Bombyx mori: one gene and its partners. The protein of the gene in region 1 purifies or fractionates together with the protein of each later gene. This does not show direct contact. Links are inferred from orthologs where the notes say so. Each region holds a gene or a part of one and is shown in the gene's direction. Other genes may lie near its edges. The genes, in order: pescadillo homolog, probable ATP-dependent RNA helicase DDX27, ribosome biogenesis protein WDR12 homolog and nucleolar complex protein 3 homolog.

Region 1 (7,737 bases):
AGACACTGCCACTTGTTAACAAACCTTTTTCATTGCATAAACAGGTGAACGAGCTCATAATCCACTTAGTGTAAATTTGTCATCACAACACGTCATAAACATTACAACGTAAATCCCGCTACGTTATAAAGTGAAGTCGAAGTCTCGATTGTATAATACAACGGCTAACCCACCCTTCAAATTGGAACGCATGACTGCTTCCCCGCAGAAATAGGCAAAACGGTGTTAACTACCATTGCAAGCTTACCATACGCCCCACCGCAAATGCGAGTTTACGATTCCAATACTCTTAGTATTATACTTTGAGAACAATGGGTTTCATTCTTCAGTGAATCCCTTTTTTCTCTTAGTACACCCACTAGAAGAGTTGAGGTGGTGTTAATCTGTGCCCCATACTAGTGTAGACATGACACATCTAAAATAAGAAAGCTTACCGGCATAATACATGTGATCCTTTTGTGATTATATGTGAGTTTACTTTTAGTAGGTATTATTTGGTGGTATATGGTAGTAGGACCACTTGTGAGTCCGCACGGGTAGGTTCCACCACCCTGCCTGTTTCTGCCGTGAAGCTGTAATGCGTTTCGGTTTGAAGGGTGGGGCAGCCCTTGTAACTATACTGAGACCTTAGAACTCATATCTCAAGGTGGGTGGCGGCATTTACGTTGTAGATATCTATGGGCTCCGGTAACCACTTAATACCAGGTGGGCTGTGAGCTCGTCTGCCCATCTGTGCAATAAATAAATAAATATTTATTATAATTATATCTCACTATTACACTTATGTTCTATATTATATTATTAAAGTATCTTTTAAAATAAATCATCTAATTGGCATGGCATCAACCGAAAAAGTTTACGGTAAGGTAGGCCGAATGTTTAATCGTTATTAGAAGTAAACTATTATAGCAAGTAATTTAAAATTAATATAAATAATTATTAACAATACGCATGATCTCCAAAAAAGTCAAGATGCGACTAATTAATAGCACAAAGGGGTTAAAGGTACCTTCATTTTTAGGATCACAAAATTGTCCAAACAAAATATGACATTTTAAATTAATCCCTTGAAATTCTTTGTAATTTCTGTAATTAGAATGATAAACTCAAATCATAGAATTGAATAGTATTCTGATGATTTTTTTTTATCGGGAAGAGATAAATGAAATGCAACATATAAAGCATGCAAAGCAAAAAATCATCTTTAAAATGAATTATCTCGTATGCTTGAAGAGATAGAACATGACGAACTGATAACAATCGAACGTTAACGTGCTTCGTGCTTAAATTAAGATTTTTTTTACCATCTAATTGATTTTAATATAAAATGATTACAAAACCCGTTCAGTTCAAATATATTGATACTATAAAAGGCAACGTTCAGAAAACCAAAATCATTAAATTATTCTAGCACAATGCTTAAAGTACTCAGTATATTAATAGTGATTTACTCGTGTGTTCAGGGTCACGTGACTCAACGAAACGACCCGAATCAACTCCATCCAGTACATGGACTCTATATCAAGCCTTCGGTCGACGGATCTACGGGAGACCTTTACGTTGCCGCGACAGAAGAAGATGGAGTCAAATCGCAATGGTTGACCGATGCATCCGTCAACTTCTTACCAGCCACAGCAGCTTCACAGAAACACGAAACTGCATTTCCGAGCCCCTTCGCTGCAAGCTATCCTCATGAAGAAACTGTGAACAAAAAAAAACAAGCTGGAGCCCCGGTCCAGTACGCATATGCGGTGCCAATGACAACAGCACCAAATGAAGGCACCTCACCTTATCCATACGCTCTACCGGTCAGTGCGTTTCCGTCACAAGCATCCGAAAGTTTAATTCCGTGTTTGGATCCTGCTAAAGCGAACATTCCCCAATATTCTCCGTTTCATTTTTTCTATCCCCAAATGATGTCTGCATATACAAAAGCAATGAGCATTTTAAAGGAGGCTGGTGTTAATGAAGATACTGCCAACTCTGTGATGCCAACACCGCCGATGTGGTCGCCTTATTCTTATCCTATGTACGTAATGATGGATCCTAGTACATGGACCAAAAGTCAAGGAACAACTCCTGCTCCTAATACTAAGAGCGAAAATAAATGATTTTGGATTTTAATATTATTTAGATAAATAAAAAAGGATTAATTTATAATATTATGATAATTATTAAATAAATGTAACTGGATTATATATTTTCTTATTAAATAAAAATTCTCAAGATGAACCTTAATTAAATTAGATCTTCAGTCGAAATGAACACGGGAGCAAAACCTTTGCTAAGTTACGATGATTTTTTTCTTCGATGAACGTTTTCTTTGTAATTATTTTGTATCTTAAGTTCCATGAGAAGTTATCTGAGGAATAGTTCCAGTTTTTTTTTTTTTTTATTGCTTAGATGAGTGGACGAGCTCACAGCCCACCTGGTGTTAAGTGGTTACTAGAGCCCATAGACATCTACAACGTAAATGCGTCATCCACCTTGAGATATAAGTTCTAAGGTCTCAGTATAGTTACAACGGCTGCCCCACCCTTCAAACCGAAACGCATTACTGCTTCACGGCTGAAATAGGCAGGGAGGTGGTATCTACCCGTGCGGACTCACCAGAGGTCCTACCACCAGTATTTACGCAAATTATAATTTTGCGGGTTTGATTTTTATTATCCGATCTTATTCCTTCATCGTGGAAGTCAATCGTGAACATTTGTTAAGTACGTATTTCATTAGAAAAATTGGTACTCACCTGCGGGATTCGAACACCGGTGCATATCGTTCAACACGAATGCACCAGAGGTCTTGTCCTTTAGGCCACGACGACTTCAAAATTCTGATGATGATTCCGCGAACCCCATTTAGCCACTGCAGTGCCCGCCACCGTAGCAAAACTCACACATATCACCGACCTGGCAACACTCAATTCAACATTTGTGATCTTTTTATCACAACACCATGCGGCTCTGGAATGAAATCCCTCCTACAGATGTGTCTAAGGTTTTGCAGCATATATCCTCCTTCATCAAACGAGACTCGAAAAGAGTTGTTTTGTAAACATTACAGAAGCTCGGCTAAGCCACTGGGATTATTCATATTTGTGAGCATCGGTGACGACTCGGTGATCTAATAGGCCGTGTGCTCATCTGTCTTCTAAGGTAATAAAAGGAACAAATTTGTGCACTTGCAGCAGCTTCACTGTGCCCCTGGCGTTGCCGACCTTCATGATATTTAAGCAGCTTGTAGTCTTTACATTCTTTGCGGAAATCTTTAATATTTATGGGATTGCGTAGTTTTATTTAAATAATATCTCAAACATATTTTTTCATACATGTAGTACCGAAATAGAATACGACCGAAACCGATCAGAAGATCCGGTGAGTAACTTAGCGAGTTGATGTTATGGGTTAGATTTCATGGGTTTCAATGGATTAGATTATCGGGGTCCCTATGCCTGTTCTTAGCGTTAGAGTTTCAGGCGTCTGGTAAAAATGTGAGTAGACCAGCTAGATCTTGAAGGATGTCCTCTCGTGTCAAGCGTCATCATCATAAATCACCTTCACCTCATTTCATCCTTATTATTTTCACTTATCAGAATGTTTAATGTTTAGACTGTATAATGTGATACTTTTGCCTTTTCTGTTGGAAAATGGAACTACTACTACTGTCAAAAATGTCAAAATGCTGTTTGGATTTTGATTTGATCTCCAAATCTCCATTAATCTTTCTAAAATGTGCGAACTTGTGAAATAATAATAGACGCACATTCAATATTTAATACAACCAAACAAAAAACCTTTACATATTACTTTCTGAACAAGGATAACAATCACAATGGTGTCCAAAAAGAAGAAGAAGGTGTGTACTTACCTATAAATCGAACACGTGTTTTATGTTGTCTTCAAAGATCCTAACCAACAAATATTTTATTTTTAGTATTCTTCCGGAGAAGGAGCTCAGTTTATGACCAGAAAAGCAGCGCTTAAGAAACTACAACTATCCTTGAAAGATTTCAGACGTATTTGTATTTTGAAAGGAATATACCCCCGAGAACCTAGAAACCGAAAGAGGGCTCAAAAAGGTGCAGGCGGAATCAAAACACTTTATCACACTAAAGATATAAAATTTTTACTACATGAGCCAATAATATGGAAACTGAGGGAACTAAAGGTAAAAAATATGCCAAAAGTAGCAATATAAGTAATACTTTAAGTTTATTTTCAAAATTTTGTTAAAACTTACAAAATGACTTAATTTTAGGTTTATCAACAAAAAATTCGTCGTGCAAGAGCACAGCGAGAATATGGCAAGATGAGAAAGTTTTTGCGGGACTATCCAGAAATAAACATTGATCACATAGTAAAGGAAAGATACCCCACGTTTGTTGACGCTTTGCGAGATTTGGACGATTGTCTCACATTGTGCTTCCTATTCAGTACTTTCCCATCATTGAAAAAAGTTCCAAGAGACCAATCATTCTTGTGCAGAAGACTGACAGTTGAATTCATGCATGCAGTAATTGCTGCTAAGGCTCTACGTAAAGTGTTTGTATCGGTTAAGGGATTCTATTATCAAGTTGAATTTGAAGGACAAACAATAACATGGATTGTTCCACATCATTTCTCATTCCAGGTACTTGAATGTTTATTATATAAGTTTTAACAAACATTAAAAGATGATCAAAAATATTAAATAGATACAAAAATGTACTAAAGAAAAACAAAAACATTAAAACTTGCCTCTACAACTGTTAAGTGGTCATATGGGGTCAGCACTTATATTCATGTTCTGGGTGGGACTAATCTAGATACTGAAAGCAAAAGCTGCTCGACATAATAATATACTTGGTTTCATTTATTAACTGTGATAGGGTGTCTTGTGAACCCACACTAAGGTACCACCATCTTGTCTATTTCTGCCACATAGCCATAATGCATTTTGATTAGGAAGGCAAGTTTGCTATTGTATAGTAAACCTGAGACTAAGAACTGTTGTCTCAAGGTGTATGGTTGCATTTATGTTGTTGAAATCTGTGGGCTCAATAGAAAAGAGTTAGTATGTTTGTTCTCTTTACATTCCTAAACCATTTATTTCATTCTGTAATCATTCACACTAGGGAAGATTTAGGTCATAGTGCTATCTAGATATATATATACCTTAGGTGGCATGCAGTATTTCCAAAACACTGATTTTTTTTCTAGAATTAGTGGAGTGTGACTGGTGTTCACTAGTATTTATAATTGGTTTTTTTTAACAGCCACAAAGCAAAGATGAAGTAGACTTCAAAATTATGGCGACATTTGTGGAATTTTACACTATGATGCTTGGTTTTGTGAATTTCAAGCTGTATCACTCACTGAATTTAGTTTATCCGCCTAAACTCCCTATTGGTTTCTCTTCTGAAAAAGACAAAGACCTTATTGACGAACAATCATATGTGTCAGAACGTATAGCTGCTATGAATATTTCACCTGCAAAAATTGAAGGATCAAATGAAGTTGAAGAGTTACCAGAAATTGACATATTTCCCACAGAAGATAATGATCCCCAAAAACTAGAAGAAGCCAAACTTGAGGCAGAAAAAATTAAAAAGCTAAAAACATTGTTCAAAGGGTTAAAGTTTTACATAAATAGAGAAGTACCCAGGGAACCCTTAGTATTCATAATTCGCTGCTTTGGTGGAGAGTGCTCATGGGATAAAGATCACTTTGTAGGTGCAACATTTGATGAGACAGATGAAACTATTGCCTACCAAATAGTAGACAGACCAAGTATGGATAAACAATACTTATCGCGATACTACATCCAGCCGCAATGGGTTTTTGACAGTGTTAATACAAGAACTTTGTTGCCAATCAATAAGTACTTGATTGGTGCTATTCTTCCGCCTCACTTGTCACCATTTGTTGACACTATAAAAGATCAAGTATACATACCACCAGAAGAAAGAGAGCTTAACGATCCAAACTTCAAACCACTCAGTAAGAATATTTCAAACAAATTTTATCTAATGAAATATGCTAATCTTTTTCAGTGTTGGTTTTATTACTCCAAATAGGTAGACACAAAATTTCAATATAATTATGACTGATCTCATATCTCATGGTGGGTGGGTGCTATTTACATTGTGATATTTTTTTCACTTTAAACCATGTGGGCTGAAAACTTATATGCCATTTTTATATTCAGTATTAATATATTCAGTCTTAAGTAATATTTTCATTTATATCAGCTGGCAATAAACATATCAATGGTTAATTAGAAAGCTTGCGCCATACATTGTTTGTGCATAATATAGAAGGTACAGCTCAATGATCTTAAAATTAACCATTGTCATTTAGTGATATTTATTCAAACAGATGCAGATTCTTCTGGAAGTGAAATAGAAGAAGCCAGTGATGAAGACAAGGAGGAGCAAAATGAGCCCGACTCTGAAGATAGTGATGCTGAAAGAGCTATTACTAAGCAATATCAGCAGGAGGTTGATGAAGATTCATCTCAAGATGAAGAAGAAAATGATGATGATGATTTGGACCCTGAGAAAAAGAAACTGGCTAAAGAGAAGGTAAAAAAAATCCCACTACATAATATGAATGACTATAATTTTACTATTGAAAATCAGAATTTTCTATGTTTTCTACCTTGATTTTATTCAGTTTGACCTAATTTTGATAATGTTCAGTTTTATTAATATGATTACAACTTTTTTATAAATAATAACGATAACTTAGAACCAATTTTTTCTTATTAATGATAAAAATCTTAGGTTTCATGTGAATAGAAAAATAAATCATTATAGGAGATATAATATAAGTTTGATAGTAAAGAATTTATATATGATGGGTTATTTTCAGAAAAAATCAATGAGGGTAACGACAGGTGTAACCCATAAAGAACATCCTTATCAAAAAGAAATAGAAGACAAACAGGCATTCCGGTTACGCGAGAAGCTAGTACGAAAGAAGCACCGCAATCTGTATAAAAGTATGAAAGCAGGTCAAGAAAAACGTAAGAAGGAAATATGGCTGCTTAGGAAAAAACGTCGCCTTCACGACGAGAAGATCAAAGATGAAAAGAAGGCAGAAAAACGGAAACAAAAAATGCAAGCACTAGAAGCTACTTCTATTTGAGATTTATTAATAAATACTATTTTCAACAACTAAAACTTATTTTAATTTTAAATATGTACAAAATTTTTGAGGCATAACAAAGAAAAATTTTGCTATTATGAAAACAATATAACAAAAATGTCACGAAAAATGATACTTATGAAATTAACACTTAAAATAATTAACTATAAAATAACAAGTAATTGTTAGGTTTCATACAAAACAGGTTAATAAAAAACCTACTCATTAAAACAAGTGTACAATTTCTTCATTAGAAACTGCAGTGATCCATTGGCTTCTTGTGCAATTTAAATACAGATTACGTTAAAATTTACTATCCTAAACAAGTATAACGGTGAAATGTCAATTAAGGAATTCATTTTATAATGATAAGCTAATCAGAATCATTTTCGCTGTCTTCTTCAGCATCACTGTCTTCAAGTTCCGGCATAGGAAATCGCAGGACTGCAGCTATACCCGTCAATTGATCTAGCTCTGTAAGAATATTTATATGATCATAATAATCGTGACAATACTGACATGACTATTTTCATTTTATTTAACAAATTTTCTTACGTTCCCCAGACACATGCATACTAGAGAATATTCTAACATCTCCACCATTTTCTCG
Region 2 (7,264 bases), on another chromosome or scaffold:
ATTGCCCGCTGTATCGTCGATTTTAGTAATTGTGACAGTATTTTTTTTATTCATAACTTGTAACTAAGCTGGCTGGAAATTTACAGAACAACCACAATTTATTATAGCTCTGTAAATCTCTCTGTTCCATATCTGAAATCTCCCTTTTATATATTTCCAGCTTGATTCTTTTTAATATTCTTAATATATTACCAAACATTCACATGAAACTTGCTTCATATATAATATTTTTGGGCAGAATATGTCTTTCAAATAAAATATCTCACATATTACACATTTTTGTAATAAAACTATAGTTGTTCTGTTACACAATAACAATAAAAAATACAATTATTATTCAAAAAATACATAAGTACATATAGTTGCATGTATGATTGTTTTAGTTAAGAGTTTTACATTTATATACTTGTATGAATATTTTTTTAATAAATGTGGTTATCATTTCAGTACCAGCCATCAAAACAAAAGACCAAAAAGAAAGCTGATTTCAATCCAAAGTTTGAATTCATATCGTCTTTCGAAGAATATAATAAGGTGTGTTTACTAATGTCCAACAGTCAAAATTGAATTATGACCACTAAGATCACAAACTTTAGACTAATTTTAGTAAAAAGGTGCACAAAAGCTATTTCCAAATATTGTAGATTGATAATATTTTACTAAGGGTTATATAAAAAGTAGTATGGGTAGGCCTCTCACAAGGTGGACCAATGTTCTTCCGAGGACAGAGAAATCTACTGACTGTGACCTCTGCAGGACCAGTCATTGTGGTGAACCTTTGGGTGAAATCCTTATAGTTTAATCCTTTGAGCGCCATCTAGGTCAATGATGCCCTATGCGACATGTTGAGATACATATTATGTCAATAAATATATAAAAAAGAGGAATTGCTTTAATGTTGACTTTTCTGCATTTTCACTAATTGAAAACAGTCTGAATTAATGTAGAATGTCAATGAAACAGCAGTGACATAGATGAAGAAATATGAAGTTATAAAATTTATCTTCTATGTAGAATTGTGAATGAATTTACTAGAAAATATATTTTAAATGTTGTTTCTTTGTTTTACACAGCAACATAGAAAATATATATATATATAAATACTATAGAAAAAAATAAGTAGAAAAAAGACTGGTTTAATTGTGTACACAATATTACTATTTATATTTTTGCTATTTTAGTTTAACTTTTTATTTTTAAACTAAATTTATTAATGAAGTAAATTTTCCTGCAGCCATAAAGGTATCTTTAGGGACATAGTTTTAAATGTCCCCTAATTGAAAATTACATTATAACGTAAAAAAAAGAATGAAAATTAAATTAAAACCTATTTCCAGAACACTTGGGATGACTTACACAAGTATGTACGTCGTAATGTAAAAAGGACATTGGATGAGAAGATTGAGAAACGTAGAGCGCATGTCAAAGTCCATGGAAATGCTGACTCTGTTGAGACTGATTCAGATGTCGAAGATAAAGGTTTGAAGACACAACTTATCGTATTTCGCTAAAGAGATATAGATCATAAGTAAGTAAGTCGTCGTGGCCTAAAGGATAAGACGTCCGGTGCATTCGTTGTTGCGATGCATTGGTGTTCGAATCCCGCAGGTAATTTTTCTAATGAAATACGTACTTAACAAATGTTCACGATTGACTTCCACGGTGAAGGAATAACATCGTGTAATCAAAATCAAACCCGCAAAGTTATAATTTGCGTAATTACTGGTGGTAGGACCTCTTGTGAGTCCGCACGGGTAGGTACCACCGTCCCGCCTATTTCTGCTGTGAAGTAGTAATACGTTTCGGTTTGAAGGGTGGGGCAGTCGTTGTAACTATACTTAAGACCTTAGAAATTATATCTCAAGGTGGGTGGCGCATTTACGTTGTAGATGTCTATGGGCTCCAGTAACCACTTAACACCAGGTGGGCTGTGAGTTCGTCCACCCATCTAAGGAATGAAAAAAAAAAAGAGATGTCCTTCTTCTGATGAGGTTATACCTTGGAATTTAAAAGATGTAACATAATTAACAATAGATTTTAAACCAAAGATATTAAACCTTTTACAGATGGAGAAATCGATGAATTGGAAATATCCGATGATGAACTGAAGAAAGATCATATAAAAATTAAAGAAAAAAAAATTAGTAAAAAAAAGAAATTGGAACAGGTAATGAAAAAAGCATTTTAATGGTCTCTATCTGTTTGTACAATCAAACAAAATAAAAATTACTTGCTCCGCCTCTCTTAAATCAAGATGATTAATTGTTAAAAAAAATGTAGACAGGTCCATAGTTGATATCAATCAGGGAAGAGTTAGGGATCCTGTTTCATAAAAACCCCAAATTCAGCAGATGACCAATTAACATAGCCATGACTGAATCTCCTTAAATTAATTTATTCAGTGTTTTGTATCAAAAACATATGTTCTAGGAACTAAAAGAAGGTGAAGAAGGAACAAAAATTGAATATGACTCGGATTTCTTCGAGGAGCCACCTCCTTATGATGAAAACGCTTCGTTTTACAACATGAATCTATCCAGACCTCTCATGAAGGCTATTGGCTCTCTGAACTTTGTACACCCAACGCCCATACAAGCCGCAACCATTCCTATTGCACTTTTAGGTAAGGCTCGCACCTCACACACTTAGTAGGGATGGTTGCTTATCATTACTGCAGATATTTTTACTAGTGGTAGGACCTCTTGGAGGCCGCACGGGTAGGTACCACCACCCCGCCTATTTCCGCCGTGAAGCAGTAATGCCTTTCAGTTCGAAGAGTGGGGTAGCCGTTGTAACTATACTGAGACCTTAGAACTTATATCTCGAGATGGGTGACTCATTTACGTTGTAGATGTCTATGGGCTCCGGTAACCACTTAACATCAGATGGGCTGTGAGCTCGTCCATCCATTTAAGCAATAAAAAAAGATGTTCCCTGCTGGACACAGGACTCCATGAAGCAATGTAGGTTTACGACAAAGGAAAGATCTTCCACCGAGCGGGTGATGTTGCTCGGTAGACCGACGGTCCGAATGTTGTTGTTCGGAACTTGTATATATGCGCTTTATTTTGAAAATGTCGTAAGCGAGATTCAGGCATCTGTCAATTATCTTGCGTTGTAAGACCGCTACAAGCAATAACATTTTTATTAATTTATTACGTAGATGTGCTGTGGATTGTCCACCATATGTTACGTTGTCACCGGAGCCTCTGTAGACGTCACAAAATAAATGCAGTTATACTTGATAATGAGGTTACAGTCTCCGCTGTATTATGTAATACCAGTTCCTCTCTTCAAACCGGAATAGAAACTTTCAATGCGAAAATGCATTTGTAAAGTAAAATTGAAATTTTGAGCTTATTGAGGTGAAAACTTCTTTAGTGTTGTTGTAATTTGAAAAACTTGCTGAAATATTTCTTCTTTCAATTCTAAAATAACGATCTAAAATTAAAAAAATTGCTTCTTTAACTAAAAAATTCATCTTATATACTTAGTCTGGCCATAAATACTGTTACAAAGGAAAAAATATTTATTACTTTTACAGTGTGTTAGTTTAATACATAAATATAAAACAATTTAAAGTATAAAAAGCTTATTCGAAGTGGTCTCCATTGGCTGCAATACAGTCCTTTAAACGTTGAGGCCAGTTATCAATAGAAGCACGCACTCTTTTCATGGGAAAATTTTATCACTGCCAATCGTACGGATTGTTTTAGGGACTCCAAACTATCATGGCGTTTAGAGCAAGCCGTACTCTCTAAAACTGACCATAAATTATAATCCAGCGGATTAAGATCGGGACTAGACGACGGCCAGTCTTCAGCTCTGATGAAGTCCGAAACGTTCGTTTCCAACTAAGACTGCGTAGACCGAGCTTTATCACCTGGCGCGGAGTCTTGCTGGAAGGACCATTCTTGATTATTGAACATGGTGTTGTTAAGGGGCTTCACTACCTTCTCAAGAATGGTATCTTGATACACTTGTGCCGATGTCTTGATACCTTTTTCACAAAAGTATGGCTCAGTCACTCCTTCATAGCTAATACCCCACCAAACCATCACTGAAGTCGGATAGTGCCCACGTTGCACTCTGTCGACTAATTGGGAAGCTTCCTTAGAGCTTTGAGCATAAATACGGTCATTTTGTTTGTTAAAATGTTGCTCCGTTGTAAAAAATTTCTTATCCGTAAACAAATTTTTTCTATGACCTCCCTTTGCGTACCGCTTCATTAGTTGTTTCGATTTTACCACCCTATTCTCTTTTAAATTATCAGTACGTCTCTTATAGGCTGCAAGTCCTAAGTCATCTTTTAAAATACGCGACATGGTTCTAGGTGCTATCTTCATCTCCCGAGATAAAATCTTTTGCTTTCGGACAGGATTTCTTCGAATTCTTTCTCCTACTGCTTTGACCACCTTTTTCGTACGAACACTACGTGGACGGCCAGATCTTTTTCTGTCACAAACAGAGGAGGTCTCATTGCACCTATTAATAGCCCGGTACACAAACATTTTACTAATACCAAGCGTATGGAGAGTTTTAAAAATTGCACTTGGCTCCATACCTACTTTGTGTAATGCAATCACAGCGATTCGGTTCTCTTTATCACTCCACTCCATTTTAATATCGCAAAATATTATACAATGTATTGGCGCCAAAATGAGAAAACTCAATGAGCAATCATATAAAAATGACAGATTCCAAATTGAAATGTAATATTTTGTTTATTTTTAATTGTAACAGTATTTATGGCCAGACTAAGTATAGTGTACATTATAATATAGTACAGTGTAATATAGTGTACATTAATTATATGACATATGATATAGGTAAGGACGTATGCGCATGCGCCGCCACTGGCACTGGTAAGACGGCTGCATACATGCTGCCCATACTGGAGCGTCTCCTGTACAAGGCGAAAGGAGGGGACCGGATCACCAGGGTCCTGGTACTTGTGCCAACTAGAGAACTTGGTGCTCAGGTCAGGATATTTTTTATTCAAATTAATTTTAAAAAATTGAGAAATTACGTCATATAACGTAATCAAAAATCAGCTGATGGGCTGGGTCAACGAACTCGCGGGTGCGCATTTGGTCTTTGCATGTTATTGTTTTTTTTTGTTCCTATTCTAGTAACCTCGAGGGGTTATTCTAGATTCACCGAACTAGTAGGTGAGTTCACGGGGCTCAAACCGGAGTGTGTTGCTAAAACTGGCCCTAGCAAGAGCAGTGTTTCGCAGAATTTACCACCGGATCTGAAACGCGACCCACTGAGAAGATCCGGCGAGAAACTCAATGGGCTGTGTCTGTGGGTTAACGGGTTCGACGAGGATTGCGCGTTCATTGCGTGTCATATAGTAAATAAATTGTATTTTTCATTTATCTATTTTTCTAAGTAATTAAATTTACATTCAAATAATATTTATTAGTGGTCTGATATAGTAAGAATACTAGAAAAAACTTTCAGAATGCTTTTTTGGTGATGTTGCTTGTTAAAACAGAACTTGGTTACAGGTCCATGCAGTCACAAGACAACTGGCTCAGTTCTCATCGGTGTCTGTGGGTCTGTCTGTGGGAGGATTAGATGTTAAATATCAGGTGGGAATACCATACCATTCTTTAGTGTTATGTCTTGTGGTCTGCGCGGGATGGTACACCGTTCCTGTCTATGTGTACACCATAAAATATTTTAAAGTGTTTTTTAGACTTTTTTTTTATTGCTTACGTGGGTAGACGAGCTCACAGCCCACCTGGTGCTAAGTGCTTACTGGAGCCCATAGACATCTACAACGTAAATACCGCCACCCACCTTGAGATATGAGTTCTAAGGTCTCAGTATAGTTACAACGGCTGCACCATCTTTCAAGCCGAAACGCATTACTGCTTCACGGCAGAAATGGGTAGGGCGGTGATACCTATTCGCGCGGACTCACAAGACGTCCTACCACCAGTAATTACGCAAATTATAATTTTGATCGTTTTTTTTTTATTACACGATGTTACTCCTTCACCTTGGAAGTCAATCGTGAACATTTGTTAAGTATGTATTTCATTAGAAAAATTGGTACCCGCCTGAGATTCGAACACCGGTGCATCGCTCGACACGAATGCACCGGACCTCTTATCCTTTAGGCCACGACGACTTCAAAATGTTCTCATCTATACTAATATTATAAAGAGGAAAGATTTGTTTGTTTGTTTGTATCGAATAGGCTCCGAAACTACTGAACCGGTTTGAAAAATTCTTTCACTGTTTGGAAGCTACACTATTCCCGAGTGACATGGGCAATAATCTTTTTTGAACAAAATTAGGGATCCTTACTAAAACTCCAATAATGTAACCCAAAGTGTAAAAAAATTACCTTAAATATTCTTTACATCGCGTGCTCTGCGAAAAGTATTGATGATAGAATATAATAATGTACTACGACTTTGTAGAACATATTATTATTTACAAAAAGTGTCGCGACAGTATATTATATCTAACTATTATAGCTATGCCGCACTAAGTGTTCTTTTATTTAAAAAAATAAAACAACGTCAAATATCGTTGCAATTTTTGTTAAAGACCCGAGCGAAGCCGGAGCGGGCCGCTTGTGTTTAGTATTAGGCAAATTAAGATCCGATCTATCTTAAAACTAGAGTACACATGCAGTGGCCTTAAATTGGATTATTTTTCCAACCCTCAGACACAGCCCACTGGGTTTCTCGCCGGATATTCTCAGTGGGTCGCGTTTCCGATCCGGTGGTAGATTCCGCGAAGCACGGCTCTTGCTAGGGTCAGTGTTAGCAACGTCGTCAGGTTTGAGCCCTGTGAGCTCACCTACTAGTTAAGGTTACGCTGAAACAGCCTCTCAAGGCTCTCAGCTTAAGTAGGAAAAAATAGGATTATTTTCGTGTTACATATGAGTCGACTATTATCAAAGTCGGCAATGTGACTTTTGGACAATTATTGGTAAATCAGAAAAACGAATTATTGACTTTGTATTCCATTGGCAGTCACAAAACTCTTCTGAACGACATCTTAGATAAATAACAGGTTAAGTATTAACCTTTATTTAATACAGGTTTTGAACCGTATTATTTGAAGGAGACGATTATATTCAAATTTTTTTTTTTTTTTTTTTATTGCTTAGATGGGTGGACGAGCTCACAGCCCACCTGGTGTTAAGTAGTTACTGGAGCCCATAGACATATACAACGTAAATGCGCCACCCACCTTGAGATATAAGTTCTAAGGTCTCAGTATAGTTACAACGGCTACC
Region 3 (7,829 bases), on another chromosome or scaffold:
AAGACAAAGGGGGCTTTACCTATGCTGCAGGGTGTGCTTTGCAGATGGGTGCAGCTGTCTTAGTTGGTGCCGGTCTTGGCATTTTTAATGATCCTGCTACATTTGTACCTATTCCATTGTCACCATATTCTTACTAGAGAGTATTAGGGTAATGATTGCAAAAAGAGTTCAAATGTTAGTCTTGTACATCTAAACTCTCAAAAAAATTGAGAGATGTATTGTCTCTCATAGCCAGTCAATATTTATGTAACTTACATTGCAGATGTATTCTGATTGTAAATGCTTTGAATGTACAATGATTTTGTTCCATTACAGATTGCAGCAAATCTGTCATCGTTGTTCCAACCGAGAGCAACCTTTATCAAAGGTTGAGTATTCCATATCCGAGTTCCGTATTCACAAAGTAATTCACCAGTTTTTATTGAATATGATGCATAATGTATGTTTTTTGAGTATGAACCACCAGCTCCAGTTATAAAACATTCATTTTCATTTATTAAATCAAATGTCAGTACTATTAAATTTGCAGGTATTTGAAGATGCTGAAAGTTAAATTTATAATAAAAATATAAACTTAAATGTTTATGAAAAACTTGTTTATTCTTTAGCACTTATATTAATTGTTATTAATTTATAAACAAGTTATCTGAGATGAGGAATGTCTGATCCCATCATGCATTTTTTTCGCATAGATGTATGGGCAAGCTCACAGCCACCTGGTGTTAAGTAGTTACTGAAGCTTATTGACATTAACAATATAAATGCCTCCACCCACCTACACACTACCTAGAACTATGGCATCTTGCCATGGACCGACCAGCTTTAGAATGTACTTCTCTCCACAGTATTTCTTAAGCATGGCTTTCTTTAAATGGTTTCTCCTTCTTATTCTTCATGGTTTGCGGTGAGTACTCAATGGTAGGTTGCTCAGCTTGACTATGCCCCTGGCATTGCAGATGTCCATGAGTGATGGTAGCCATTGACAACTAGGCGGAGCATATGCAGATTCCTTTAAGTACAGGCTTACATTTTCTAAGCCATCAGTAAATTCCAGCTGGTGATTACCAATCACTAATTACCTTTTACAATACTAATGGAAAGAGTTGGAGTAGTCATATTCTAGACTGACGCTGCACAGAAAACTTATTTTTATTTTACCAGAGCTGTAACAATTCTACTTACAGTATCTCTGAGAACTGCTCCTTTGTCCCACGTCCATATTGTGACCAGTCCAGATTTAGAGCAACCATATAAATTGTAATCTTCATTTTGGGGAAATTCTATTCCAACAAACCCATCAATGGGAGTTTCAGATTCTAAGGTCCTGACTAGTTCGCATGTTTGTACATTGTATACATGCACTATATCTTCTACTATTACTGCCACTGATCTATAACATAAATAAGCCGCCAATTTAATGCTTTTTCTTTAGAACGCGCAGCTTTGATCTATGCAGATTAAAACATACTGTTCTCATAGGTTAAAAAAATTATACTTATATTTTAGAGCATTCTAAATTGTAATAACATAATTGTTTGAATATTATGGACAATTCATTTAATCTATTCATTAATATTAAGATTTTGAATTCTCTGTTAACATTTTAACATCGTGGATATAAATGTGTTGTTTTACTTACTCGCCGTCCGGAGAAAATATTGGGCGTCTTTCTATAATACTTCTACCCGCTTTTCTTTTAAGGCAATATTTTAGCTTATTGGCTGTATCTACTTTAACGACCATTTTGTGAAATATTTATATTAAATTCATTTCAATGCAATGTAAACAAATAGAACATCTATCTTTGATGGAGCCTGACATAACCTCAATCCTTTTTTTTTTAACAAAGAGAATTATTGTGGCAAAAGAATAATTATTGGGAAAATTTAACTCCTTTAAAATTAAGGTAAATAGCTAGTCTACTACTACTTTTGTTGTGGTTACCACTACATCTATTGTAGGAAGTAATTTTGAAGAACTTGTCAAAATTGGGCATTCGTTATTCGTTACCTGAGAATTTATTTAAGAGAGTGTACTACAAAGTGTACCTATATCAAGCTCAAAACTTATGAGTGTTCTGTGTTTGACCCATGATTCAGCTGTTAATTTAATGTTTCTTCAGGTTGAAATGAGTAATGACGAAGGTTTATAAGCTATTAAGAATCTGTGAAAGTGCATAAATGTAGGAAAACGAAACAGAGCCGTTGGATGTAGCCTTTCGGAATCTTCCAACAAGTCCACTGAAAAAGTTTCTGTAAATAACCAACATTTTAATGAGATTATATTTTATTCCACATTAACTTGCTTCATTTAATTTTATCTCAGTTGATTAATATAGACATGTGTAAGTAATGCGAGTGATATTACTCCGGTAATATTACTCTACGATGTAATGCAACATCACACATTACGCGAAGGAAACAAACATCACACTATCACTCAATATGTTTCTTTCTTTGTCGTGTAATGTTGCTTAATACACGAACGGAACCGAGCGAGCGAGACAGACCGATCGACCAAAATAAATGAGCAAGCGACATGGAATTATTCCTAGTGATTTTGAACCGTATGCCCTGGCCGCTAGGTACATTTTTATACCTATGGTACGTCTGAATTTTAATATAGGTATTTGTGTTTATATTTTTCATGCGGCCAGCCAGTAGTTCCCCGCAAGTAGTTACTTAATTTTTAATTCGCAACTTTTGTAAAATCGCTAGTCGCTCGTAATTGTTTAGTAATATTTCATATTAATTTCTGTGTTTGAATTACTTAAGCACTTGTATGAAGATAGTTTTATTATTTGTTTTAATGCGTGTTTAATAAGTGAAAGAAAGAACGGCGTCTAAATGAAAGTACAGTCCTCCTTGGATGCACTTTGAGGATATCGCGCCGAAACAATGCATCTACTGCTCTCGTATATTAACATTATTGTCGAGCTCAATTTGCAGTCTAAGTCGCCATATGAAATCCGTTCATCCCACAATAAATTATATTAAGTAAAAAATAAAATTATTATATTATTAAGTAAGTCAATCTCTGTCAAGTAATATAACAGTGTATTACAATACAAAGTTCATACTTTGTATTGTAATACACTACTGTAATGACACACCCGAATCATTACTTAAGTGATGTGTTCATACACATCACTTAAGTAATGATTCGGGTGTATAGATACAATGTACTCGTCGTCACAGTATCTATTGAACGCACCGAGTAATGTTAAGAGTGATGTGTAATGTTTTCGAGTAATATCACCTGTCCGTAAAAGTGATGTCATATCACATTACATTGGCAAGTGATGTTTTGCGCAAGTCTAGATTAATATCTCAAATTAATCAACTTCACTTCATTTCACTCCATATCATTTTTCATGAAAGAGAATAAAATATACAACATACAAAAGATTAGGATGTAACGTTAAAAATTTAGGATACCTTCGCCTTTTTACTTGGAAAAGTGGAACTACTACTGTCAGATGTCAGGTTTGGTGAAAACTGAAAACTGTCAATGAGAATCCGGCGTGTTATTAGTTTAGATTCAGGTCATTTCAGGTTGTGTAGTCTTCATTTATATCAATACCAAACTTTAACACAACTTAAAATATTGTAGTACAAAATGTCTGGCGATGCTTTAGAAGCTCAATTGCAAGTTAGATTTATAACTAAACAAGAACAGTAAGTTTTGCACTTGTTTTGACATGTGGTCCAATAAAGTACTTCGCTCTAAGCCGCCTATATTTTATGCAGATATGCAGTTCCGGATAGTCCTTACGCTATCCAGTGTAACGTACACCCTGCGGACCTTAATACCTTAATCAACGCAATTTTGAAGGAGACCTCACCATCGTTCGAGAAGGCGGTAATATTTGATTTCTTAGTATGTGGAGAGTTACTTTGTGCCTCCCTCGCAGAGCACTTACAAGAAAAAGGGGTATCGACAGAGGACACGCTTGAGGTCGAATACTTGGAAAGGTTCCCTGCACCAACTCCACAGGACTGTTTAATGCACGATGATTGGGTGTCAGCTGTTCAGGCACACAGTAGTTGGTAAGATGAAAACAAATTTAGATAAAATCAAATTATTTATTTATATAAATAAAAGTTAAATGTAAAATCTTACAAAATAATGTGTAAAATAACAAATCTCATTTCATCCAGGATTCTATCAGGAAGTTATGACAATAGCTTACATATATGGAGCACAAAAGGACAACACAAACTAGCCATACCAGGTCATACATCACCAGTAAAAGCAGTATCATGGGTGTCCTTCCAGGGTGATCAAGCTACATTTGTTAGGTGAGAAATTGAATAGATAGTAATTTGATAAAAATATTTGATATAAAAACATGTCACATTGACAAATTTAAGTTAAATTTAAATGTATCTCAGTATTATTTAGTTAGTATATTAAAAATGTATACTACAGATATAGCATAGCAGTTATGATCTGACAAAATTAAAATAGATAATTTATCATAAATAGAATGACAAAAATAATTAAATCCTGAAGATGTATACAGAAGGTTTTTTTTATTTTTGGAGTTTACTCCTTAAGAATCGATTTACATATATAGGCCCGGGGTATGAAAATTATGGGGACCAAAATCGTACTAGAGAGTATAGCATGTCACACGAAATGCGTTATGCGCCTGATTGGCTGATGGTGATGCGTGCGCGCGCCAATCAGGAGCCAACGCGCGGCCGCGTTATCGCAGGTGACGCCGGGCTGCTGCGCCGGCAGTCCGCCACAAAGCCTCGTACTGATCGCGCGTTTCTCTCATTATTGTATTTTCATATATTTGTTAGTCGTTTGTTTTGTGTCTCGTTAATTTGTTAATAATCTGTAGTGTATCGTGTTGTCGTAATATAGAACTATTTCTCGTATTGTTTCGTTTAATTTACCGACATCGTTTTGCTTGTGGCCGGACGCCGTTCGGGTTCGATTCCTGAACGTATCAACTGTTAGTGGGTTGATACCCGAATATAACCCGCTACAAATCATTTATTAATAAAGCTTATTAAATATAAACAATTCCTTCTATCAGTGAATGGACAACTTATATATTAATTGTAAAAGTGAATTATATAGACTTACTTAATTACCGCATCCACGTGTTCCGCAACTCCCGGATCATTCTCACTAGAATACGTAACTTCCATATTTTACTGTATTCAACTGACACAAATTTATATTTATATCCAGTAAACTCCAGTCGTGCGTCGGAGCGGACACACACACTTTTTTTTATTGCTTAGATGGGTGGACCAGCTCACAGCCCACCTGATTTTAAGTGGTTACTGGAGCCCATAGACGTCTACAATGTAAATGCGCCACCCACCTTGAGCTATAAGTTCTAAGGTCTCAAGTATAGTTACAACGGCTGCCCCACCCTTCAAACCGAAACTCATTACTGCTTCACGGCAGAAATAGGTAGAGTGGTGGTGCCTACCCGTGAGGACTCACAAGAGGTCCAACCACCAGTAAAAATGATATGTAGGTATGTATGATTTCAGTGGATCTCATGATCAAACAGCAATACTCTGGGTATGGAATGTACCTAGAAATTCTGTTGACTGTATGATCACTTACCGTGGCCACGACAAGGGAATTGAATGCCTGTCTGTGTCGGCTGATGGTAACCGTTTTGCAAGTGGGAGCTGGGATAACAATGTTTGTCTTTGGAGTGCAAGTGAGTAGATACTTAATAATAATTTAAGTGAAAGGACTTTTGGAAGGCATTGCTGACGTCCATGAGCGATGGTGACCACTTACCATCAGGTGGGCCGTATGCTCGTCTGCCTACAAAAGCAATAAAAAAATATATTGAATCGATTTAAACCCTAGTTGCAATGTTTGTACAGCTATATTATAGGTCTCCTTTGAGATGACAAGTGGAAAAACAGCTATGTGGTCCTCGAGAATAAATCAAATGTGTATTATATTGGTTTAGTTGTTATTTTTAAATTAGTTTTTTTGAATGTACATAATAAATAAAATATGCATATTTACCCAATTTAGGCTTAGCAGAAGAAGAAAACCATCCAGCTACGAAGAAAAGTAAACCAGAACACGGCACCACTAGAGTGAGTATGAATTGAATGAAGCAGTCCTATAACACCTATACTTGTGTATAATAGATATTATAGGACTGATTTTTTCAATTGACTATAGTAGAATTATTTTGTCCGTGCAGTTTGGGTCATAAAACATAGCCTGGCTAGGGCGGCGAGCATGTTGCGCGGGAGCAACGCCATTATCGATAAAAACAAATGAGTCATCGAAGGCAGGTACACGGAGGTGGGGTGGTTTACGAAGGGTGGTGAGACATTATGTTATGAGTCATTTGTTGTACCTACCTGCAAATTATAGTACATATGTCGAAAATAAATGTGATTTTTTGCATTCGCTCTCTGAATTTCTTTAGTGGCACAATGGCTACTCCTTTGTTTTGTACCAAAACGGCAGAATTTATTTAAATATTTTGCTTGTTGGCAAAAATATACCAGCACAAGCACGTGTTATATCAACAATGCATACAAAAAATTTCACTGTAATGAGAATAGATCCCGAAAAGATACAAAGTGTTAATTTCTGCCGTTCTCGTTAACTTGCTGCGGCGATATGTGGTGTAAGTGTTCGATTAATGATTTTTTCTTCATTTTTATCACTAACCCACAAAATGACAAAACTAAATACACTATCGATAACACTTATCGACAACACTTATCGACAACAATAATGCGCATCACTACGCCCGCCCATAAGGCTCGTGAGTGGAAGAGAGAGCGAAATACTCGCTGCACCGCTCCGATTTTTTATGACCCAAACTGCACGGACAAAATAATTCTACTATAGTTAAAAGTTGTGCAGATTTAAAAAAATTAAATTGGTAAAACAGTTTGATTTTTTTAAACAATGAAGTGAAATGTTGCTTGGATAATGAATGAATATGATTCCAATTTTACTTATTAAATTTATAGAATCCACTGACCACTTTAAAAGGACACAAGGAGGCTATCTCGGGTGTTCAATGGATGGATTACAACACAGTACTGTCCAGTGGTTGGGACCACTTATTGAAAATTTGGGACTGTGATTTGGGTGGTATTAAACAAGAAATTGCTGGTATGTTAAATTTGCCATGAAATTTTAAACCTGTATGAAAAACATTTCTGAAATTCATTAAATCTTTGCTTTAAATGATATAGAAATTAAAAACAGAAGACTTCTCACAAATGATTTAGATGTAGCAGGGTCAACAGATCTTCAAGCTAGTAGGCATAATATAATAAATTCTGGTGGTCATGGTCAAAGTGCAGTCTTGCAAATTCTGTGTCCTTTTCTCTAATTGGTATTCAAACAATATTTACATTTAACTTTCTAGGTAATAAGGCCTTTTTTGATGTTGATTGGTCACCTCTGAACAACAGCATTATTACTGCATCAGCAGATAGACATGTCCGGTTATATGACCCTAGATCTACAGGTAAGTTATGAATTATTATTTTCGGAATTTAATTTTAGCTAATAGTAAATTAAAGAATATTACTGGTTCTTATAGTATGTCTCTACTTGTGTACAAAATGTGTATATTTCTTCATATTGTCCTTGGATCTTCCATGTAATTACGGAAATATATATATTTTTAATGATCCAATGTTATTCTTCAGTCATATACTCTGCCTATGAAACCTCACACACAGGCTATGATTTTTTTCTTCTAAAAACTACAGTAATATGTTGAAGTGTGTATATTGATATATTATAGCATAGCATAGTATTAGCATATAACATAATTAATAGGTGTAATCTCGTATGTCCAC
Region 4 (7,264 bases), on another chromosome or scaffold:
TTTTTATTGCTTAGATGGGTGGACGAGCTCACAGCCCACCTGGCGTTAAGTGGTTACTGGAGCCCATGGACATCTGCAACGTAAATGCGCCACCTGCCTTGAGATATAAGTTCTGAGGTCTCAGTATAGTTAATTCTGCAACGTAATGATAAAATATTCCCAGGAAACCGGAGGCGTGGTCCCGGGAGCTAGGCGTGCTGTCGGTGCGCTGCCTGTGCGGGATGCTGGACGCTCGGCCCGGGTTCAACTACTCCTCCAACATCGCGCAGACCCTGGTGCCTTTCCTGGACTGCGCCGACCCGCAGGCTCGCGGCCTCGTCACCGACTGCTGCGCCAACGTGTTCGCTCACGACAACAAAGGAGAGATCACCCTCGTCGTGAGTCCGATGTTGATATGCCCCGGCGCGACCCCCCGCCCCCAACACCTCTCGCCCCCAGCACCCCCAGGGCGTCTAACAGTTTCTTTCTGACTCAAAAGACCACAGTCTGTTGTAGCCAGCGCCAGTCACTCGTGCAAATCGTTACCTCATGTTGTGCTGTACATCTTCACGGCTACACACAAAGGATCTTGGGCACATGTATGACTCTGCCTTAAAAATCTATATATACAGGGTTACAGGTTAAGTCGACCTATTCCCGTTAAGAGCGTGTAGCTTACATCGTTTCTGACTGATTTGACTATGAAACACCCTACCCTAAATCTAACCGATCTGGAGATATTTCAATTTAATTGTTTTTTATAAAAAATACCCGATTTTCAGGTATCAGCTTAGATATTTTGAAATGCGTAAGTCTTAATATTATTATTACATGATTTTTACTTGTAAAATAAGATGCTGTATGACCCCAATAACAAATATTGTACGTAAAATGAATAAACAAGTCGTTTTAGACGATTACAACTTATAAAAACGAATAAAAAATTAGAAAGATTATTTTTCTTTCAAGGATATCTTAAAAAAATATTATGGCGCCTGTTTGGCAGATGTGCTCAACAATATCTACGTTTCGTCAGCTATCCAACAAGGTATAGCAATCTAAAGTTTTATCAAAAATTTGTCGAAAACACTTAGTTTTATAGGCTACAGGGGAGGCTAAATAAAACAAGTATGTACAAGATACTACATTTATTAAACTTTCAAGTTCCAAAAAAACATCCTAAGGTCTAAATTTCATGTCATACAGCATCTTATTTTACGAGTAAAAATCATGTAATAATAATAATAAGACTTACGCATTTCAAAATATCTAAGCTGACACCTGAAAATCGGGTATTTTTTATAAAAAACAATTAAATTGAAATATCTCCAGATCGGTTAGATTTAGGGTAGGGTGTTTCATAGTCAAATCAGTCAGAAACGATGTAAGCTACACGCTCTTAACGGGAATAGGTCGACTTAACCTGTAACCCTGTATATAAAAATAAATTGCTGTTCGTTAGTCTCGCTAAAACTCGCGTACGGCTGGGCCGATTTGGCTAAATTTGGTCTTGAATTATTTGTGGAAGTCCAGAGAAGGTTTAAAAGGTAGATAAATATGAAAATGCTCGGAATTAAATAAAAATAACAATTTTGTTTCCCTTTTATGTGACGACCCCCGTCGGACGGATTCCTTTTGGTTTGTTTTAAGTTTATTTTATGCAAAAGTTTAGGTCTTTTATTTATCGATTGAGGCAATACGAAGACTGGCGGGTCAGCTAGTTAGAAATAAAATAGTTTCTTTTCAAATCAGTACCGAGACCGTCGCTCTGCCAAGATCAACCCTGACGTCACGTGTTTCAGATAGTCAGGCTGATCAACCAGCTGGTGAAGAGGAGGGGCGAGCGGCTGCACCCCTCAGCGCTGGACTGTCTCCTCTCGTTGAAGATAAAGGACGTCGATATAGACGCCGAAGCTGACATCAAATTCAAGAAGAAACAAGACGAGAAACACAAGAAAAGGATCGTTAACCTTTCTAAGAAGGAGAAGAAGGTGCCCGCGACGGATTCAATGATCATGAAATCTATACTACGACGCTTGAAAAGCAAACGTAACTAAGCGACAATGCGTGAACCTTACAGTAGACTAATTAAAAGTTGAAATACCTGAGAAAAATTATATTTTAACGAATCTATCTGTAGGATTGAAATGATTCTAATAGACCTAGATTATTTTTTTTTGCGCCTCGAATATGGTTATTGCCTATCATTTATGTATAAAGCAGTTATTGTCGCTTAGTCACGTTTGCCTTTCAAGCGTCGATACTAATATTATAAACCTGAAGAGTTTGTTTGTTTGAACGCGCTAATCTCAGGAGCTACTGGTCCGATTTGAAAAATTCTTTCAGTTTTAGATAGGCCATTTATTGAGGAAGGCTATAGGCTATATAACATCACGCTAAGATAAGAGCACCAATAAAGGATGTTTCAATTCAAATGTGTTATTCAAAAATATTTTTACTTTCTACGTAAATGAAGTCGCCGGTAAAATTTAGCGTTAAGTAACTATTCCACGCGGACCAAGTCGCGGGGAAAAGCTAGTTTAATATATAGTGAAACTAGCGACCCGCCCTCGCTTCGCTTCGGAAACCGTAATTTATTATTGATTTCTCCACTATTTAATGGAGGTTATTATACATATAAACCTACCTCTTCAATCACCTTATCTATTTAAGAAACCGCATCAAAATCCGTTGCGTAGTTTTAAAAATTTAAGCATACATAGGGACAGAGAAAGCGACTTTGTTTTATACTACGTCAGCGGTCGGGGAACCGGGGTAAATTACCCCAAATGGAGTAAAATGAAATTTTGGGGGTAAAAAGCATATATTAAATTGAAACTTCTTTAGAATCGTTAAATTTATTGTTATCAAAATTATCATGGGGTCTATAATACGAAAGACACTAAAAAGAAGCGATTTCGTTTTTTTTTTTTTTATATTTTGGGGTAATAATTAAAAAAACTCCCCGACCGCTGTACTATGTAGTGATGATGTTCGTTTTTGTGACATCACCCTCTTCTGTCCCGCAGCGAGCCAAAAAGCTAAAGGAGGTGGAGAAGGAGCTGCTGGAGACTCAGGCCCAGGAGGACGAGGCGGCGCGGAAGCGGCAACTGACGGAGGTCGTGAAGACGGTCTTCCACATCTACTTCCGACTGCTGAAGAGTGCGCCCTCCTCCAAGCTCCTCGTGGCCGCGCTCGACGGCATCTCCAAGTACTGTCTACATACATACGCATCTAATATAGTTTTTAATTATTTATTCCAAAACTAGCTGGCCCGGCAGACTTCGTAGTGCCTCAATCGATAAATGAAAGACCTAAACTTTTGTATAAAATAAACTTAAAACAAACAAAAGGAATCCGTCCGACGGGGGGCAATCCAAGAAAAAAAAATATCATATTTATCTACCTTTTAAACCTTCTCTGGACTTCCACAAATAATTCAAGACCAAAATTAGCCAAATCGGCCCAGCCGTTCTCGAGTTTTGCGAGACTAACGAACAGAAATTTATTTTTATATATATAGATATAGATAGATAATAATCTTTGGTTACTCGAGATTGTTGAAATAAACGATATCCAATATTTGTTAACACGCTTTTATTAGTTTCATACGTATGTTAGTATGTAACGGAATCTTTGAACATGATTTTGACCCCCTTCAGAACGTTGGATAACACGAAATTTGGCATACTTATGAAGGATCGATGACAATTCAATATTTTAAACAATTTGATCCGTTATCTTTACTAGGATAATCAGGATTAGCGATTTTTTGTTTTCCTGAGACCCCGAGTGTCTGCGTCAAGATCAAGAAGGGAAACTACCAGGCGCGCCGATCACCTATTTCTCGGATAAGTTATCGACAATAAATCAGATGAAATTATTGAAAAATTGAAAAATTCATTTTTTTCAATTCGAATTCAGTTTCGGTTTCGACTATAAAATGAAAAAAAAATCTTTAAAAAAAAAAAAAAAATATGCTTTTATGGTATCAATAAATATAGATATTTTTATAATATCCTGAAAAGCACCCCATGCTTTTTTTTACAATAAAATATTTTTTTCTTACACTATTTTTAATTTAAATTTATTAATTTATTTATTTATTAAAATTTATTTTCTATTTTTAGTGGGATTTTCTAGAAAAGTGTATTTTTTGTAGTTTTTTTAAACCATTATTTATCAATTCTAAAGTATCTGTTGTTGAGACTTCCGGCGTGTGGTTTGTCAGGTTCGGGCACGTGATCAACCTGGAGCTGTACTCGGACCTGGTGCGCGTGTTGTGCGCGCTGCTGGGGGCGGAGTCCCCCCGGGGCGCGGGGCTGCGGGCGGCGCGCTGCGGGCTGGGCGTGCTGGCGGCGGCGGGCGACGCGCTGGCGCTGGACCCGGCGCGCTTCCACGCCTACCTCTACGCCAACATGCTGTACGCGCACGCAGGTGACGTCACCCCCCTTATGTGTCTCAATACTGAGAACTCATTATTCTTCAAATTTACGGCAAGTTTCTTAAATTTTGCTGAACTCGATAAACAGTCGTCTGGTGACATGGTCACTACACAAGGGGGTCACGGATTCGAATCCCGCCAATGGAAGATATTTGTATGATAAAAAAAAATGTCTTTTCCAGAGTTAAGGACGTATGTATATTAATTATGTGTATATGTATAATAAAAATCTTACATTGATCTCCGTTATCTGGTACCTGTAACACAAGTTCTTTACGAATTTATCACGAGACCAGTTAACGTGGCGTGATTGTTAGTTAATATTTATTTATTTATTTACTATTGATTTTGTTACGTTTGACGTAATTCGTGGTTAAAGTAAGTGAGGTAGCTCACTGTATAACAGTATACTGCACATTCGATAATTAATCACATATGACGTCATCATTTGTCATTGTCGACTTCCAGAAGGTATTAATAATATTAATGAGTAGCCGTACTCACCTGTTTCGCTGGGCATTTAAAATTAACATTATTATTAGGGAGTCCAACACTCATATAAATATTAGCCTATCCATTACATGTATTTTCTACATGGATACCAAGTTTCAAGTCAATCGGATGCACGGTTCAGTAGTTATAACGGACCATCCGTAAAAACCACTGTAGATTTATACATTAATATAGATATTATACCGATTTATTGGCATAGTACATTGCGTCCTAAGCTTCAGCCTTTAAGGCTGGGACTAGAGTGGCGGAGTCTGTGTTCAGGTGTGTGTCCCCCCGCAGGCGGCACGCAGGACTCCGCCCCCGTGGTGCTGGGGGCGGCGGCGCAGGTGTGCGGGCGCGCGCGGCTGGTGCCGGGCGCCGTGCTGCAGGCGCTGGGCAAGCGGCTGGGCACCCTGGCGCTGCAGCTGCCGCCCGCCGGAGCCCTGGCCGCGCTGGCGCTGCTGCACCGCCTGGCCACCGTGAGTCTACCGCTCATCTAATTTTAAGCTACGAGGGTTTTAGTCGATGTGAAACATTCCAGATGGTCTGTATCACAATTGGAATTGGCTGCTGGAATTCTTCGGACAAATTGCTCGTAAAGAGGGTCACAATCTAGGATGGTCGGACCAAATACGATCTTCTCTAAACATCAACTTCCACAATGCCCTTCATGAAGCTAAGGATCGCAGCAGATGAAGGGAAACTGTACGGGAGAAACTGATGCAGCGGGGGAGTCACGACCCTCAGTAATGAGGAAAACGAAGCGAGGAGGAGGAGGACTATCGCAATTACGGCACAATCGTATTTATAGTAAAAATTAAAACTAGTAGAATTATTTTGTCCGTGTAGTTTGGGTCATAAACCATAGCCCGGCTAGGGCGGTGAGCATGTTGCGCGGCCGCAACGCCATTATCAATACAATATACAAAACAAATGAGTCATCGAAGGCAGGTACACGGCGGCGGGTGGTATACGAAGGGTGGTGAGACATTGTTATGTTATGAGTCATTTGTACTTATTTGCAAATTATAGTACATTATGTCGAAGAGAAATGTGTTTTTATGCATTCGTTCTCTGAATTTCTTTAGTGACACAATGGCTACTCCTTTGTTTTGTACCAAAACGGCAGAATTTATTCAAAATAATATTTGCACGTGTTGTTATCAACAATGTGTTAAACATTTTCACTGAAATAAGAATAGATCCCGACAAGTTACAGTGTTAATTTCTGCCGTTCTCGTGAATTTGCTACGGCGATATGTGGTGTAAGTGTTCGATTAGTGATTTTTTCTTTCATTTTTATTACTAATCCACAAAATGTCAAAACTAAATACACTATCGATAACGCTTATCGACAACAATAATGCGCATCACTATGCCCGTCCATAAGGGCCGTGAGTGGAAGAGAGAGCGAAATAATCGCTTCACCGCTCCGATTTTTTATGACCCAAACTGCACGGATAAAATAATTCTACTATAGTCAATAATATAATTTGCGGGAGTTGCCGCCCCTTTCAACATGTCCTCCGCCTGAAGAACAATAGATGAAAGCGTCGCCATCTTGTGTCTTTACCGCTTCGACAAATAAGATGCGCCGGCGACATGTTGCAGGGGGCGTGGTTTGACCGGCTTTGCACACGGATCACCTGGTGTGACGTAAAATCGTATGATTTCGGTGCTAAGTTGACTTGCTCACTCGACACAAATGTTTAGTAAGCTCGGGTGCGGGCCGCAGTCAACGTACAATACAAAAATCTCGGCCTCCGCCGCGGTCCAGTGATTATTTGCAGCTCGCTCTTACGTGTGTGGCTTGTTAATTGTGTCTCGAAAGGCGGTACTCGGAGCAGTCCGTGGGACCGGCACCTCCACCCAGGGGAACATAATCCTTTTTTTCCCCTACCTAAGCTGAGAGCTTTGAGAGGCTATATCAGTGTAACCTTAACTAGTAGGTGAGCTCACGGGGCTCAAACCTGACGACGTTGCTAACACGAACCCTAGTAAGAGCCGTGCTTCGCAGAATCTACTACCGGATCGGAAACGCGACCCACTGAGAAGATCCGGCGAGAAACTCAGTGGGCTGTGTATGTGGGTTAATTTACTGACCGGTGCGTCGGTGAACGATGACCGGTGCTTGAGGTACCTAGAAGCACCGTTAGTAGATCGGGAGGATCCGAGATGACGTGTTTTGGGCGACGTCGACTGCTTTCCATTCTGTCCGCACGATCGGGAATGAACGTATAGCAAGTAATGAGTGTTGTGTGTAGCAAAGCAAGGCGGTGTCGGCGCTGCTGGTGCGCGAGGACGAGCCGGGGGGCGCGGGCCGGTTCGACCCCTTGCTGCCCTCCCCCG

The links.
Region 2: the proteins of pescadillo homolog (region 1) and probable ATP-dependent RNA helicase DDX27 purify together in Homo sapiens (affinity purification with mass spectrometry; 4 studies listed by BioGRID and IntAct, counting the BioPlex papers as one, with this or other methods). This does not show direct contact. The link is inferred for Bombyx mori from reciprocal best matches to the Homo sapiens genes PES1 and DDX27.
Region 3: the proteins of pescadillo homolog (region 1) and ribosome biogenesis protein WDR12 homolog purify together in Homo sapiens (co-immunoprecipitation; 7 studies listed by BioGRID and IntAct, counting the BioPlex papers as one, with this or other methods). This does not show direct contact. The link is inferred for Bombyx mori from reciprocal best matches to the Homo sapiens genes PES1 and WDR12.
Region 4: the proteins of pescadillo homolog (region 1) and nucleolar complex protein 3 homolog purify together in Homo sapiens (affinity purification with mass spectrometry; 3 studies listed by BioGRID and IntAct, counting the BioPlex papers as one, with this or other methods). This does not show direct contact. The link is inferred for Bombyx mori from reciprocal best matches to the Homo sapiens genes PES1 and NOC3L.

Annotation. Positions count from the first base shown.
Region 1 is NC_085116.1:5,444,137-5,451,873, reverse strand, and holds pescadillo homolog, read left to right. Parts: upstream 1-3,628; 5' UTR 3,629-3,831; coding exon 3,832-3,855; intron 3,856-3,933; coding exon 3,934-4,167; intron 4,168-4,257; coding exon 4,258-4,629; intron 4,630-5,254; coding exon 5,255-5,978; intron 5,979-6,356; coding exon 6,357-6,562; intron 6,563-6,851; coding exon 6,852-7,127; 3' UTR 7,128-7,162; downstream 7,163-7,737. UniProt on the Homo sapiens protein: Component of the PeBoW complex, which is required for maturation of 28S and 5.8S ribosomal RNAs and formation of the 60S ribosome.
Region 2 is NC_085126.1:9,621,986-9,629,249, reverse strand, and holds part of probable ATP-dependent RNA helicase DDX27, read left to right. Parts: intron 1-447; coding exon 448-534; intron 535-1,337; coding exon 1,338-1,479; intron 1,480-2,066; coding exon 2,067-2,167; intron 2,168-2,430; coding exon 2,431-2,623; intron 2,624-4,829; coding exon 4,830-4,981; intron 4,982-5,513; coding exon 5,514-5,597; intron 5,598-7,264. UniProt on the Homo sapiens protein: Probable ATP-dependent RNA helicase. Component of the nucleolar ribosomal RNA (rRNA) processing machinery that regulates 3' end formation of ribosomal 47S rRNA.
Region 3 is NC_085114.1:8,372,333-8,380,161, forward strand, and holds the start of ribosome biogenesis protein WDR12 homolog, read left to right. Parts: upstream 1-3,325; 5' UTR 3,326-3,618; coding exon 3,619-3,677; intron 3,678-3,749; coding exon 3,750-4,049; intron 4,050-4,160; coding exon 4,161-4,301; intron 4,302-5,519; coding exon 5,520-5,695; intron 5,696-6,024; coding exon 6,025-6,089; intron 6,090-6,986; coding exon 6,987-7,131; intron 7,132-7,390; coding exon 7,391-7,492; intron 7,493-7,829. Other genes in the region: WD repeat-containing protein 75, read right to left, coding at 256-542, 1,183-1,390, 1,640-1,743.
Region 4 is NC_085113.1:12,524,078-12,531,341, forward strand, and holds part of nucleolar complex protein 3 homolog, read left to right. Parts: intron 1-163; coding exon 164-377; intron 378-1,781; coding exon 1,782-1,970; intron 1,971-3,008; coding exon 3,009-3,190; intron 3,191-4,210; coding exon 4,211-4,416; intron 4,417-5,215; coding exon 5,216-5,394; intron 5,395-7,179; coding exon 7,180-7,264. UniProt on the Homo sapiens protein: May be required for adipogenesis.